3 linked regions of the Danio rerio genome follow. The protein of the gene in region 1 interacts with the protein of each later gene in a biochemical or structural test. Links are inferred from orthologs where the notes say so. Each region holds a gene or a part of one and is shown in the gene's direction. Other genes may lie near its edges.

Region 1 (4,294 bases):
CTATTTTATAAACATATTGAGATATTTCAAATTCAAACCTAAAGCTTACTTTGCCAAGCTTTATAAATGTAGCCAAACACTGTAAAAAATGCAGGGTTCCACACGATCCATTCATGTTTTCCCAACACAAATTGATTAAGTTAACTTAACACTTTAACAAATTAATGTGAATTGAACAATACAAAAAAAAAAAAAAAGTTGTCCCAATGAAATCTCAGGACTTGTGTTGTTTCAGCTCATTTAAAAAAGTAGTTTTAACAAGTAAAAAAAAAAAACTGTGTAGCCCTAGGCTAATTTTACCATATGTTTTTTTTTTTTTTTTTTTTTTTTTTTACAAATGCGAGTGTATGGTAATAGACACAGCCAATATTATTAGCCAGTTTTGTCTTCTGCTACAGGAAAATTGAATACTAACATAAAGGGAAATCACTCTAAATGTAAACCTAAATAAATTGCTATTTCAACAAATAAAATGTAGGCCCACAGCAAATGTGAAAAGTTATGCGTATCATATTTAAAGTCCCCATCAATTCAAAAATATGATTTTGTTATCTAGCTGCTAATATTGTGGTGAACAAGTCATCTGTGCATGTAATTAAAAGAGAAAAAAAATGTTTGTCCTTGTAATCTTTATTGGAAATCTGAAAATGCACTTCCTGTTTTATTATTATTATTATTATTATTATTATTTATTTATTGGGGGGGTGGGGGGGGGGGTGTTGAATTGTTAGATTATATACATTTCAAGAATTGGGCGTCACAAACATATTTAACCATGTTGCTGAGGAGGAGGTGACAGGTTGTTTAACTCTCCCCAAAACCCTTTTACCGATCTTTTTGAAAGAAATGAAAGTTTACTACATCCATTCAGCTTGCAGAAAAAACCCCAAAACAAAACAAAAAACAAACAAAAAATAAAAAATAAAAAAAGCCACAGCTACTGTTTTGTCAATTAATATTCAGTTTCTCTAAACTATGGAAAAAAATTAAAATAAATAAATAAATAAATGGTCACATCTTCCGGTTCATGCGGACTTTAACAAACAGTTTAGGCTACAACATATTTTATGTATATATTTTATATTAATTTTATATAAAAAATTAGCCTGTGATTCATCACAACAGACATTATAATGTCTATAAACAATCATGAGCAACACACAGCGATCTCAGTTCATCCAGACATTTTAATCTTATTCGCAAATTGTTTAAAAACAAACAAACAAACAAAAAAAAAACAGATATAGCCAGCGATCAGTTATCAGTCAAGTTATTCCAGGATCTGCCGAATGTTTAAGCGAGGTACGAAGAATACACGGTGTCTACAGAGAGAATAAAAAAGAGACACTGTACAAAACATACATAAAAAAAAAAAACTACAACACCCATGATGAATCTGGATGCACCTCCGGCGCACAATGACGTATTAACATTTCGCGGGCAGAATCAAAACCACACAAGTCAACCAGCCAGCCGGAATTTTCAAGCAAAGCTGGACGGTAATAACACATACGATATTAAGTTAAAGACCTCATACAGTGTTGAATAAAATAATGTACTTATTGAATTGTTAATAATCGCGTGGTGTTGATGTGCATAGTCGCCATGCAGAGAGTCAGTCGTCTGAAGCGGGAGATGCAGCTCCTCACCGCTGAACCTCCTCCAGGAGTCTCGTGCTGGCAGTCAGAGGGACGCCTGGATGAACTACAAGCCCGTCAGTTTCTGTTTCTCTTTTGTCGTCTCTTACTGAAACTACATATTATATCCAAATCTGACGCCCTTGCTTTACCTTTGTGTTTGGAGTATAGAAATTGTTGGAGGTGCAAACACTCCGTATGAAGGTGGTGTGTTCACATTGGAAATCAACATACCTGAGAGGTGGGAATTTGGTTTGCACATTCGGACTTAAACCTTCTTAATTTAGTTTTAGAACAATATTATTTGCCCGTTTTAAGTGGGGAAATTATATTAGCAGCTAATGACATAGAGGTAAAGTTGGTTTTATATTTGGATATTCAGACATTATCCTCAATAATATAGTTTCAGAATAGTATTCTTTGCAAATTGTAAATGGGGAAATCATATTAGCAGCAAATGACTATCAAATTACAACATTGTTCACATTGAAATAGGTAGTGTTAATGTTGTTTAGAAGTCATATTTGCATGCTAATTTCTATCCAATATTCAAAACAACATGGTAAACAATATAGAGACTGCTAAATGAATGAATGTGCGGATATAAAACCAACTTTACCTCTATGCTAATGACTATCAAAGCACAGCATTGTTCACAGTCAGTTTAATGGTACTAATGTTGTTTCAAAGTTGTGCCATTTCAGACTTGATTTTAAAAAAATGCAGTGCTTTAAACAGTACAGGTAGGTTGTAACAATATAACATTTTTACACTATGATAATTGTTTTAGAAAAAAAAAAAAGAAAAACAGTGTTTCTGGGTGCATTAAAAAATTTGATCATAACAACCCAGCCGACATGTCCACATAGGATTTTTTGGGCCGTGTGGGTGTCAAGTGGGCATGGGCTCAAAGTGGGCATTTTGTTGAGCTGAATGTGGGCCCCGGTTAGGCAGCTTACACACACACAGCTCACAAATGGGCCACATATGGGTTATCAGATTTTTTTTTTTTTTTTCAGTGTGTTTGCTTTTGTACAATTATGATAACAGCCCAACCATTTTTTTAAGTATTTCATATCACATATATGTACTTACAGTGGTGATTATGAATATTTTGTATATTGTACAAGAAATGTACGTACGCTAGGCATGAAGTTGCCGTGGACCATAGCACATTCCCATGTTCATGATTGTTTTTTATGACAATTTAGAAATTAAACTAGCAATAATCATATAATTGATATAAAAAATCTTTAAATTCATGCTAGAATCATGTGTTATCAATATTATTGCACACCAGAGTATTATCATGTCTTAAAAAAAAAAAAAAAAAAAAAAAAAGGCATTTCACTTCAAAAATGTGCTGTAAATATTCCTGTATCCATTTGGCATAATACTCTGGCAAGAGTGTCGTTTTCCTGAAACATCACATGCATAATTGTACAAACAGTAGTTCAATAACGTTACTGTGTATTTAGTCATTTTAGATACAATGTTGTCTTTTTCCTCTATTTCACCATTGAAAATGGTTCCTTATAAATCTGGATTTGTGTCCGAGTAAAGCTGTTACTGAATTAATCTGCTTTTGATTTATTAATTGGATTGAATAAAGCAGAGATCAATTGAAAAAATCAGTATTTTTTTCCTAATAAGCCATTTTAAAGATTTTTTTAAATAAATTTAAATGATTACTTGGTTTAAATGCCTGCTTAACACTTTTGTTCATTGTTTTAAGGTATCCATTTGAACCTCCAAAAATGCGTTTCCTGACTCCCATTTATCACCCCAACATTGATAATGCAGGACGCATTTGTCTTGACGCTCTGAAACTGCCACCAAAGGTAGATGCTAAAAACAGCAACAATAATGTACCAATAATATGTATTTTTCCACTCAAAATTTGAATTCTGTTTTGAAATATTTTGGTATTTTTAGTTGTATTAACTTGATAGACCTTTTTGCAACTCTCTTGTGGTTGTAAACTACTGACATGTCACATGCTGATATTTATAAGCATTGTTTTTTAAAGGGAGCTTGGAGGCCCTCGCTTAACATTTCAACAGTTCTCACATCCATACAGTTATTGATGGCCGAACCAAACCCTGACGACCCTCTCATGGCTGATATAGTGAGTTTTAATTCAGTTACCCATAAAGCCTGGTTTATACTTCTGCGTTAAGTGATCAGCGTGACCTACGGCGCATGCAACGTGCGTAGCTGTGCATACTTTTTTCTGTTGCTCTGCAATAACACTTCCGAAACACTAGTTGGCAGTGAGGTGTTTGTTTCTCTGTGTCCAGTTTCTTCGCTGGTGTTTTGTTTTTTCTGAATGCTTCCTTAATGTACAAGTGGTTCAAACTCGCTCATTTTGCGGCAGGAACCGCCAGACGTGCAACAACTTTAACCATGAGGTAAACACAAAACAAAACTTTCCAGTTAGTTAAAATGTAGTTACGTTTTTTTGGGAGGTGCTCGTCAGCGACGGCCATGGCGAGGGCTATGCCTCCGTGCATAGACCGCGCTGTAGCATACACGTGCGCTTGCGGCAGAAGTATAAATCAGCCTTTAGTTTTTCATGTTTGTAACTTCTGGAATTATTATAGTAATGTATTTGCATTTGTTTGCTTTCTACATATTCATCACAATTAATTGAATGC
Region 2 (3,577 bases), about 18 Mb from region 1:
GTCATAAAAAAGCTGGCCTGCGTGGCTGCTGGAGACCTGGCACCCGTCAATGCCTTTATTGGTGGGCTTGCTGCCCAGGAGGTTATGAAGGTAATATGGTCTTCCATTATTGTCTTTGAACTTTAGATCTGTGAGATGCAGCATTGTGATGTGTTAGCCTCACCTATCATGCTTCTTTATTGTTTATCTGCTCAGGCCTGCACAGGGAAGTTTATGCCCATCATGCAGTGGCTGTATTTTGATGCTTTGGAGTGCTTACCTGAGCCTGAGGAAGTCATTCTTACAGAGGAAGAGTGTGCTCCTGTAAGTGCTTTATATTTTTAGCATTTGTTTAATATTTGTGCATTGTTATGGCTCGCTCAAAAGATTGTGGGTTTAAGACAGAATAATTTATTCAGTTATCTGTTTTGTACAGAGGAACTGCCGGTATGACGGCCAGATTGCCGTCTTTGGGTCCAAGCTGCAGGAGCTGTTAGCCAAGCAGAGATATTTTCTGGTGAGAATCTAAAACTGGCTGTTTTTCAAAACTGAATGATTTCTCTATGCCAGATAAGGGACTGCACAATGCCTTGTCACCTTGAAGTTACATTGAACCAAACAAATAGCTTTGAATAGTTTATAACAAAACAAGCAAGTATTTGCTGATCCAAACTTTTTTTATGCATTTATTCCTCAATTATTTAGTGCTTAATTTTTACTAATACAGTCAAAAACTACATTTTAAATGGCTTAGAAAAAATTACAAATATATATTATGGAAAAAGTATTTGAAATGTTTTGGCAAATATTAAATTGAAATACTAAAATTACAGATGAAAGTATGAAAACTATAGAAAAATAACGTATGATAAGGATAAAGCATATTTAAAATTAAAACTGGACATTTAAAAAAAAGCTCATTCAAAACGGTTTGTGCTGAACAAAATGCCAGACAATAACATCAGCCACGTTTTGCTTTCAAACCATTGTAGATTTGTTTTTCATCTCGCTTTTAGTTATTTTAAGCCGCTGTTGTAAATTTGAAGAAGAGACAAACCAGGAGGATTTTTCCAATATCTTCAAAGCAAAATCGTTTTCCGGGCCTTGCTTGAAAGCATCACTAGGCCATTTGTTAGACAAAAGACACAGCCCTGCCTGGAACTGACAATATGCATTATTTTGGAGAAACAATACTGTCTTTTACATATAGGCAGTCTACCTTGATCCCTCAGGATGCATCTTAAAATGTAAAAGCCTAATTTATATATTAAAAGAAACTTGTAATCTTTCACCATCAAACAATATTGAAAAAAATAGTTCATGCTAGATTATTTTTGCCTTTAGTCCACAATTAATTGTTAAACTGAAACTACGAAAATAAAGCTTTATTTTTATTTTTTTTTTTGCTAGACAATAAGCTGAAATATTAATATAAAAAATTAAAACCATTTGTAAAAGTCAATAAATATAAAATTAGACAAATTAAGACTAAAATATTAAAGCAGAGGAAATTGATGCTTCAGCAACAGGTAGTTGTATCATTTACACAAAAAAGAACAAAAACCTCTGCTTTAGCATGTGTTGCGTTCACCTTAGTGACCCTTTCTGTGTTCAGGTTGGTGCTGGAGCCATTGGCTGTGAGCTGCTGAAGAACTTTGCTATGATGGGCTTGGCCAGTGGTGAAGGAGAGGTCATAGTCACTGACATGGACACCATTGAGAAGTCCAATCTCAATCGACAGTTCCTCTTCAGACCCTGGGATGTCACGGTACGATTGACTGACCCATTCTAACACTGAGGAAGGAATTTTGAGAAAAAACAGGATTATAATGCCTTACTTTTGTATAACATCGCTGATGGCTTTGTTCTTCTTTTATCGAGCAGAAGATGAAGAGTGAGACTGCTGCTGCGGCAGTGAAGCAGATGAACCCGTCAGTCCGTATCACTGGTCACCAGAACCGTGTGGGACCGGACACGGAGAAGGTCTATGATGATGACTTTTTTGAATGCCTTGATGGAGTGGCAAATGCTCTTGACAATGTAGATGCCCGTAAGTAAGAGTTTTAAGAAATCGTGCAGCTGCTCACAGTTGAAAATGCATTGCTTGAACATCATGTTTGCTCCTTCCAGGTATGTATATGGATCGGAGGTGTGTGTACTACCGTAAGCCATTGCTGGAGTCTGGTACTCTTGGCACCAAAGGAAACGTGCAGGTGGTCATTCCCTTCATCACAGAGTCCTACAGCTCCAGCCAGGATCCTCCAGAGAAGTCCATTCCTATCTGCACACTCAAGAACTTCCCAAATGCAATCGAACACACCCTACAGGTGACAAGCAATATTGAAATGTTGTCTTGAGCCTTATTCCCAAACTCGATTTAGAAATTTTTTTTTTTTGCCAAATGGGCAGTCTTTTTGAAGTATACACTGGGGTTGCTCTGATTGATTGACTACCAATTACAATTTGTCAGTAATCACTTCTAAAAACTCTATCTGTGATCTCTTCATTTTCCAGTGTCATAAAACCAATGTCATTCTGATCAAATCATTGATGCCAATTCATTCTTTTTCTGGCATGGGTTAAATAATAATTAAAAATTTCTAATTACTGGAATTAATTAATGGAGATCATTTAGTTATTTGTCGATTGTTTTTAATGTAATGTTTATAAAAATAGTTAATGTAATGTATAAAAATGTATATTAGTTTTTTGTATAATCTCTTATTGAATTAAGTTATTTAATATGTTTTTCTATATTGGTCTTGGCATGAAATAATCACAAGTTGCTGATGTGGCAATAAATGAACTTGGAACTATTTTCCTGGTGAATTACAAGTCATACATCTTAATTAATTTTGATAAACTCTTACCCAGACTTAACACCAATGTCACCAGATTTCTCTAGAAAGGTTCACCAGCCCAGTTTTTGTGCTTCAGGACATTGTTTAAAGGAATCATTCAATCAAAAATTAAAATCCTGTCATTTTCCATTTTCTCACCCTTCACTTGTTCCAAACCTGTTTGACTTTTTGTCTTTTGTTGAACACAAGAAAAGATATGAAGAAGGGTGGAAACCTGCAACTGTTGACTTTCATAGTATTTGTATTTGGAAGAAATTGTACTATGGAAAGTCAGGTTTCCTTAATGCATCTTCATTAGTGTTCAACAAAGAAAATTGTAAAGTTTTGGAACGACTTGAGGGTGAGTAAATGTTTCATTTTTTGGAGCACTATTTCTTTGAGGGTGAGTTGACCTCTTAAAAAGACACTAAAATAAGCAGACATGACAACTGCACCTGTGAAACAAATGTAACCAAAAGTTAAATTACCAACTTGTAATAAATGAAAAGGTAGGAAGTGTAAGTAATAATAAATCAAAATCACATATTTGAATGATATAGTTAATTATTTAAATATTTAAGGGTTTTAGATTTTAAGCACGATTTAAATTATATGTTAATCTAAATTTTATTTAGTTTTTTATATATTTATTTAATTTTTGGTTGAAATAGTTTTCTGCTGAAGAAAGCTGCATTGATTTGATAAATGTGTCAAATTTGAAATTAAAGTGTATAAATGAAGGTCATTTGAAAAGTAAC
Region 3 (3,577 bases), on another chromosome or scaffold:
CTCTCAGTAATTATTTATAGTTCGTTGTTCATAGCTAAAGTGAGCATTCATTTTTACTGCAGTAAAACAAAGAATCAGGTGATGTGTGAAAGCTTATGAAAAAATCTCTGTTTTGTCCTTCAGGCATTTTGGTTTTGTTGTCAGCGCAGCTCGCCTTTTTGCTGGAATTTATAATATTCCATACTCAGAAGAGGTAAACAATGATTTACACAAACTGCTGTCTACTTGTGTGGTGCCTGAAAAAGTGCATGGTGTGCAATATTTATTGTCTACAGCAATATTATAATTGTTGCCTAAACAATGTGTGAGCTGAGATTTTTGTGTATGTTGTTTAATTTGCAGAAAACAAACTAAAAACACTCAAAAGTGTTCACTGCATGATACAGAATGTTAAAATGAGCCTGTACTGAACTCATAAATATCCCTTGGGTTTGGGTTTATGTTTTTTATATTTATAAAAGATGATATAGTAAAGTGTGGAGTTAGCATGTTCCCGTTGTGGGTTTCCTCCGAGTGCTCCGGTTTCCCCCATAAGTCCAAAGACATGTGCTATTGGTAATTTGGGAAGTCTAAATTGTCCATAGTGTATGTGTGTGAATGAGAGTGTATGGGTGTTTCCCAGTGATTGGTTGCAGCTGGAAGGGCATCCTCTGCATAAAACATATGCTGGATAAGTTGGCAGTTCATATCACTGTGGAACCCCTGATTAATAAAGGGACTAAGCTGAAAAGAAAATGAATGAATGAATGATGTAGTAGTAATATGACCCATGCAAGAGTGCCGCTATCTTGAAAATCAGTTTTTTAAATTTGATCTCAAATGTGATAATGATTTTAGAAAACAATTTTACAAAAAATTATTTTACATTTAGCTTAAAAGGTTGAAATGAATCTTGCTGTTCACTAACATTATGAGCAAATGATTCAGTGATACATTCATAGAGATGCTTATTTTCTGAATGAATCAGCCATTTTGAATGAATCATTTGAATTTATTCATTAAGACAGAATAAGAATTAAGCTCATTAATGCAGGGACTTGCTACTATATTGATATTTCTTGATCTGTTAGGCTTAAACCAGCCAAGAAACAATAGTATTTAAAAAAACTAATATTGTTTAACTTAATAATTTAAACTCAACAAATAATCCAGATAATTTTCAATATTGCACACTCCTACTTTTTGAAGTAATTGTTTGTAAAGTTTTGTTGCTATTTGTCTTATAATGTTCTATTGAATCATTTATAGCAACTTTCCTACGAGGATGTCTCCAGAGTTTTAGCTGAAGTGGATGTTCCTGAATACAAACCAGCTGAAAAGGTATCTGTTCATTCACTTTGTGCATGTCTGATTGTACTCATTCTTAAACACAACAACTTTATAAAAGCAATCAAAATAAAACAACATTATTTAACTTTGCATTTAGGTCAAAGTGATGTGACTTAAACAGAGTTTGGCACATAAACCTGCTTATAGAATTAAAATCGTAATGCTCTAAATGTTTTACTGGGATTCCTGCCTCTAATAAAGAGTAACAGTTGGATTCTGGATCAAAGAAAAACTTGATTTTTATTTTAGGGAAATTAATTTTTAACAATAATAAACTCTTTGAAGACAGACCTGTTGTGCATTGCTAACTTAATTTGTTGAACTTTAAACGTGATTTTATCTGTTTTAAAATTTTTTTGTTTACCTTTAATTCCTTTAATCTTTAATTTCATCAGCTCTTAGACAATGCAAAAATTAAAAAGTCCACCAAGATGAGGCGTGGAGGTAGTGTTTTTTTTTTTTTTTATAAAGCAATGTGTAAGCTTTTGGACCTGCATAGGTGCATTACATTTAGATCAGCTTTTAGTTGGTCAATGGCGTGGTCTTTTTTAGTTCCTTAAAATAGCAATGCGCCAACAATGTGTTTTAACAAACCTCCTTTATAGGCCGGAACACCCATGAGTCAGCAAAGTGATGCAAATGGATTTTGCTATTTAAGCAACGTGGTGCAAAACGTGAACATTACTATTGCGCTGGTCTGAAATTAGCAACAAATCGCACCATACACAACGTGCACCTTATTGCGCCGGGAGTATGATAGGGCTGGATGAGTTTCTTTCTTCTGCTGAACACAAACAAAGTCATTTTTGAAAATCTTGGAAACCAGTAATCATTGACTTCCATAGCATTTGTTTTACTTACTATGGAAGTCAGTGGTTAACAATTTCCAAAATTCTTCAAAATATCTTTTAGGTTTAACTGAAAAAATAAAATCATAAATAATAAAATAATAAATATATAATAATAATATAATAATAAATAATAAATAACTTCATAAAGATCTGGTGAATAAAACTGTAAATTTTTACATTTTTGGTAAACTATCCAAGAGCCAAATATTTGTGATTTTCTGTGGCTTTACCGAATTTCATCACTTTTGTGTGTTTTTTATTTCAGCATATAGAGACTGACGAGACTGTTAAAAAGCCAGATCAGTTGAAAATAACAGTGAGCAGTGAGGAGGAAAGAGAAGCCATTTCACAGCTACAAGAGGCCATCAACTCCAACTTAGTAACACCTGGTGTGTTTATAGCACACAACATATAACAAACAGTTCATAACAAATCAAGATGCTCAGCTTCCACACATTTGTACTCACATTTTACTCTTACTTTAGAGAGACTATGTATGAGTCCGCTGTTCTTCGAAAAGGACGATGACACAAATGGACACATGGATTTTGTAGCATCAGCGTCAGCCCTGCGAGCTCGTATGTACGCCATTGAGGCCGCTGACCGACTACAAACCAAACGAATAGCTGGCAAAATCATCCCTGCGATTGCTACATCTACAGCTGCTGTCGCTGGACTGGTGAGAGTAAAAACTAAATGATTTCAGTGAATATTTGAGTGCATTGCTGTGTGGATATATGATTGCTTTATTATTCATTCCCTTTAGGTGTCGATGGAGTTGATTAAAATTGCTGGCGGTTATGGATTTGAGTTGTTTAAAAACTGCTTCTTCAACCTGGCCATTCCAGTTGTGGTTCTTACAGAAACAGCTCAGGTCAAGAGAACCCAAATCAGGTAACAGATCAGTGCTTGTGCATAGATACTTTTCAGGGATGAATAGATGCACTATTCCTGGCTTCATGTAATTGGATCTTTTTGTTTTGACCAGAGATGATATTTCATTTTCTATCTGGGATCGTTGGACCATCTTCGGTCGTGAGGACTTCACCTTATCTGATTTTATTAGTGCCGTAAGGGTGAGTAACATTAAGGGCTCTATTTTGACGATCCATGCACAAAGCGCAGGGCGCAAACGCTTTCAGGGCGTGTCAGAATCTATTTGCTAATATAAGGACGGAAAAATCCACTTTGTCTAAAAGGGCTGAGTTTATTTTCTTAATGAGTTATAGGTGTGTTTTGAGAATAAACCAATCAGACTCTCATCTCCCATTCCCTTTAAGAGCCAGTTGCGTTGCGCCATAAGCACATTTGCCATTTACATGGCGTAAAGTAACTGTAGGTGGAAAAACTGAGCATTTCACTAGCAAGAAAACAGTTAAACAGAACATCTGCAGCGA

What was found. The genes of interacting proteins can lie anywhere in the genome.
Region 2: of the proteins of ube2t (region 1) and uba1, one has a biochemical effect on the other in vitro, tested with the Homo sapiens proteins (4 studies listed by BioGRID, with this or other methods). The link is inferred for Danio rerio from reciprocal best matches to the Homo sapiens genes UBE2T and UBA1.
Region 3: the proteins of ube2t (region 1) and uba6 form a complex in vitro, tested with the Homo sapiens proteins (2 studies listed by BioGRID, with this or other methods). The link is inferred for Danio rerio from reciprocal best matches to the Homo sapiens genes UBE2T and UBA6.

Annotation. Positions count from the first base shown.
Region 1 is NC_133198.1:5,229,881-5,234,174, forward strand, and holds the start of ube2t (ubiquitin-conjugating enzyme E2 T), read left to right. Parts: upstream 1-1,428; 5' UTR 1,429-1,499; intron 1,500-1,600; 5' UTR 1,601-1,605; coding exon 1,606-1,714; intron 1,715-1,808; coding exon 1,809-1,878; intron 1,879-3,372; coding exon 3,373-3,478; intron 3,479-3,666; coding exon 3,667-3,765; intron 3,766-4,294. UniProt on the Homo sapiens protein: Accepts ubiquitin from the E1 complex and catalyzes its covalent attachment to other proteins. Catalyzes monoubiquitination. Involved in mitomycin-C (MMC)-induced DNA repair.
Region 2 is NC_133198.1:23,558,883-23,562,459, forward strand, and holds part of uba1 (ubiquitin-like modifier-activating enzyme 1), read left to right. Parts: coding exon 1-90; intron 91-195; coding exon 196-303; intron 304-415; coding exon 416-496; intron 497-1,594; coding exon 1,595-1,747; intron 1,748-1,863; coding exon 1,864-2,029; intron 2,030-2,109; coding exon 2,110-2,306; intron 2,307-3,577. UniProt on the Homo sapiens protein: Catalyzes the first step in ubiquitin conjugation to mark cellular proteins for degradation through the ubiquitin-proteasome system.
Region 3 is NC_133176.1:21,383,224-21,386,800, forward strand, and holds part of uba6 (ubiquitin-like modifier-activating enzyme 6), read left to right. Parts: intron 1-123; coding exon 124-193; intron 194-1,248; coding exon 1,249-1,320; intron 1,321-2,445; coding exon 2,446-2,569; intron 2,570-2,665; coding exon 2,666-2,859; intron 2,860-2,946; coding exon 2,947-3,074; intron 3,075-3,168; coding exon 3,169-3,256; intron 3,257-3,577. UniProt on the Homo sapiens protein: Activates ubiquitin by first adenylating its C-terminal glycine residue with ATP, and thereafter linking this residue to the side chain of a cysteine residue in E1, yielding a ubiquitin-E1 thioester and free AMP.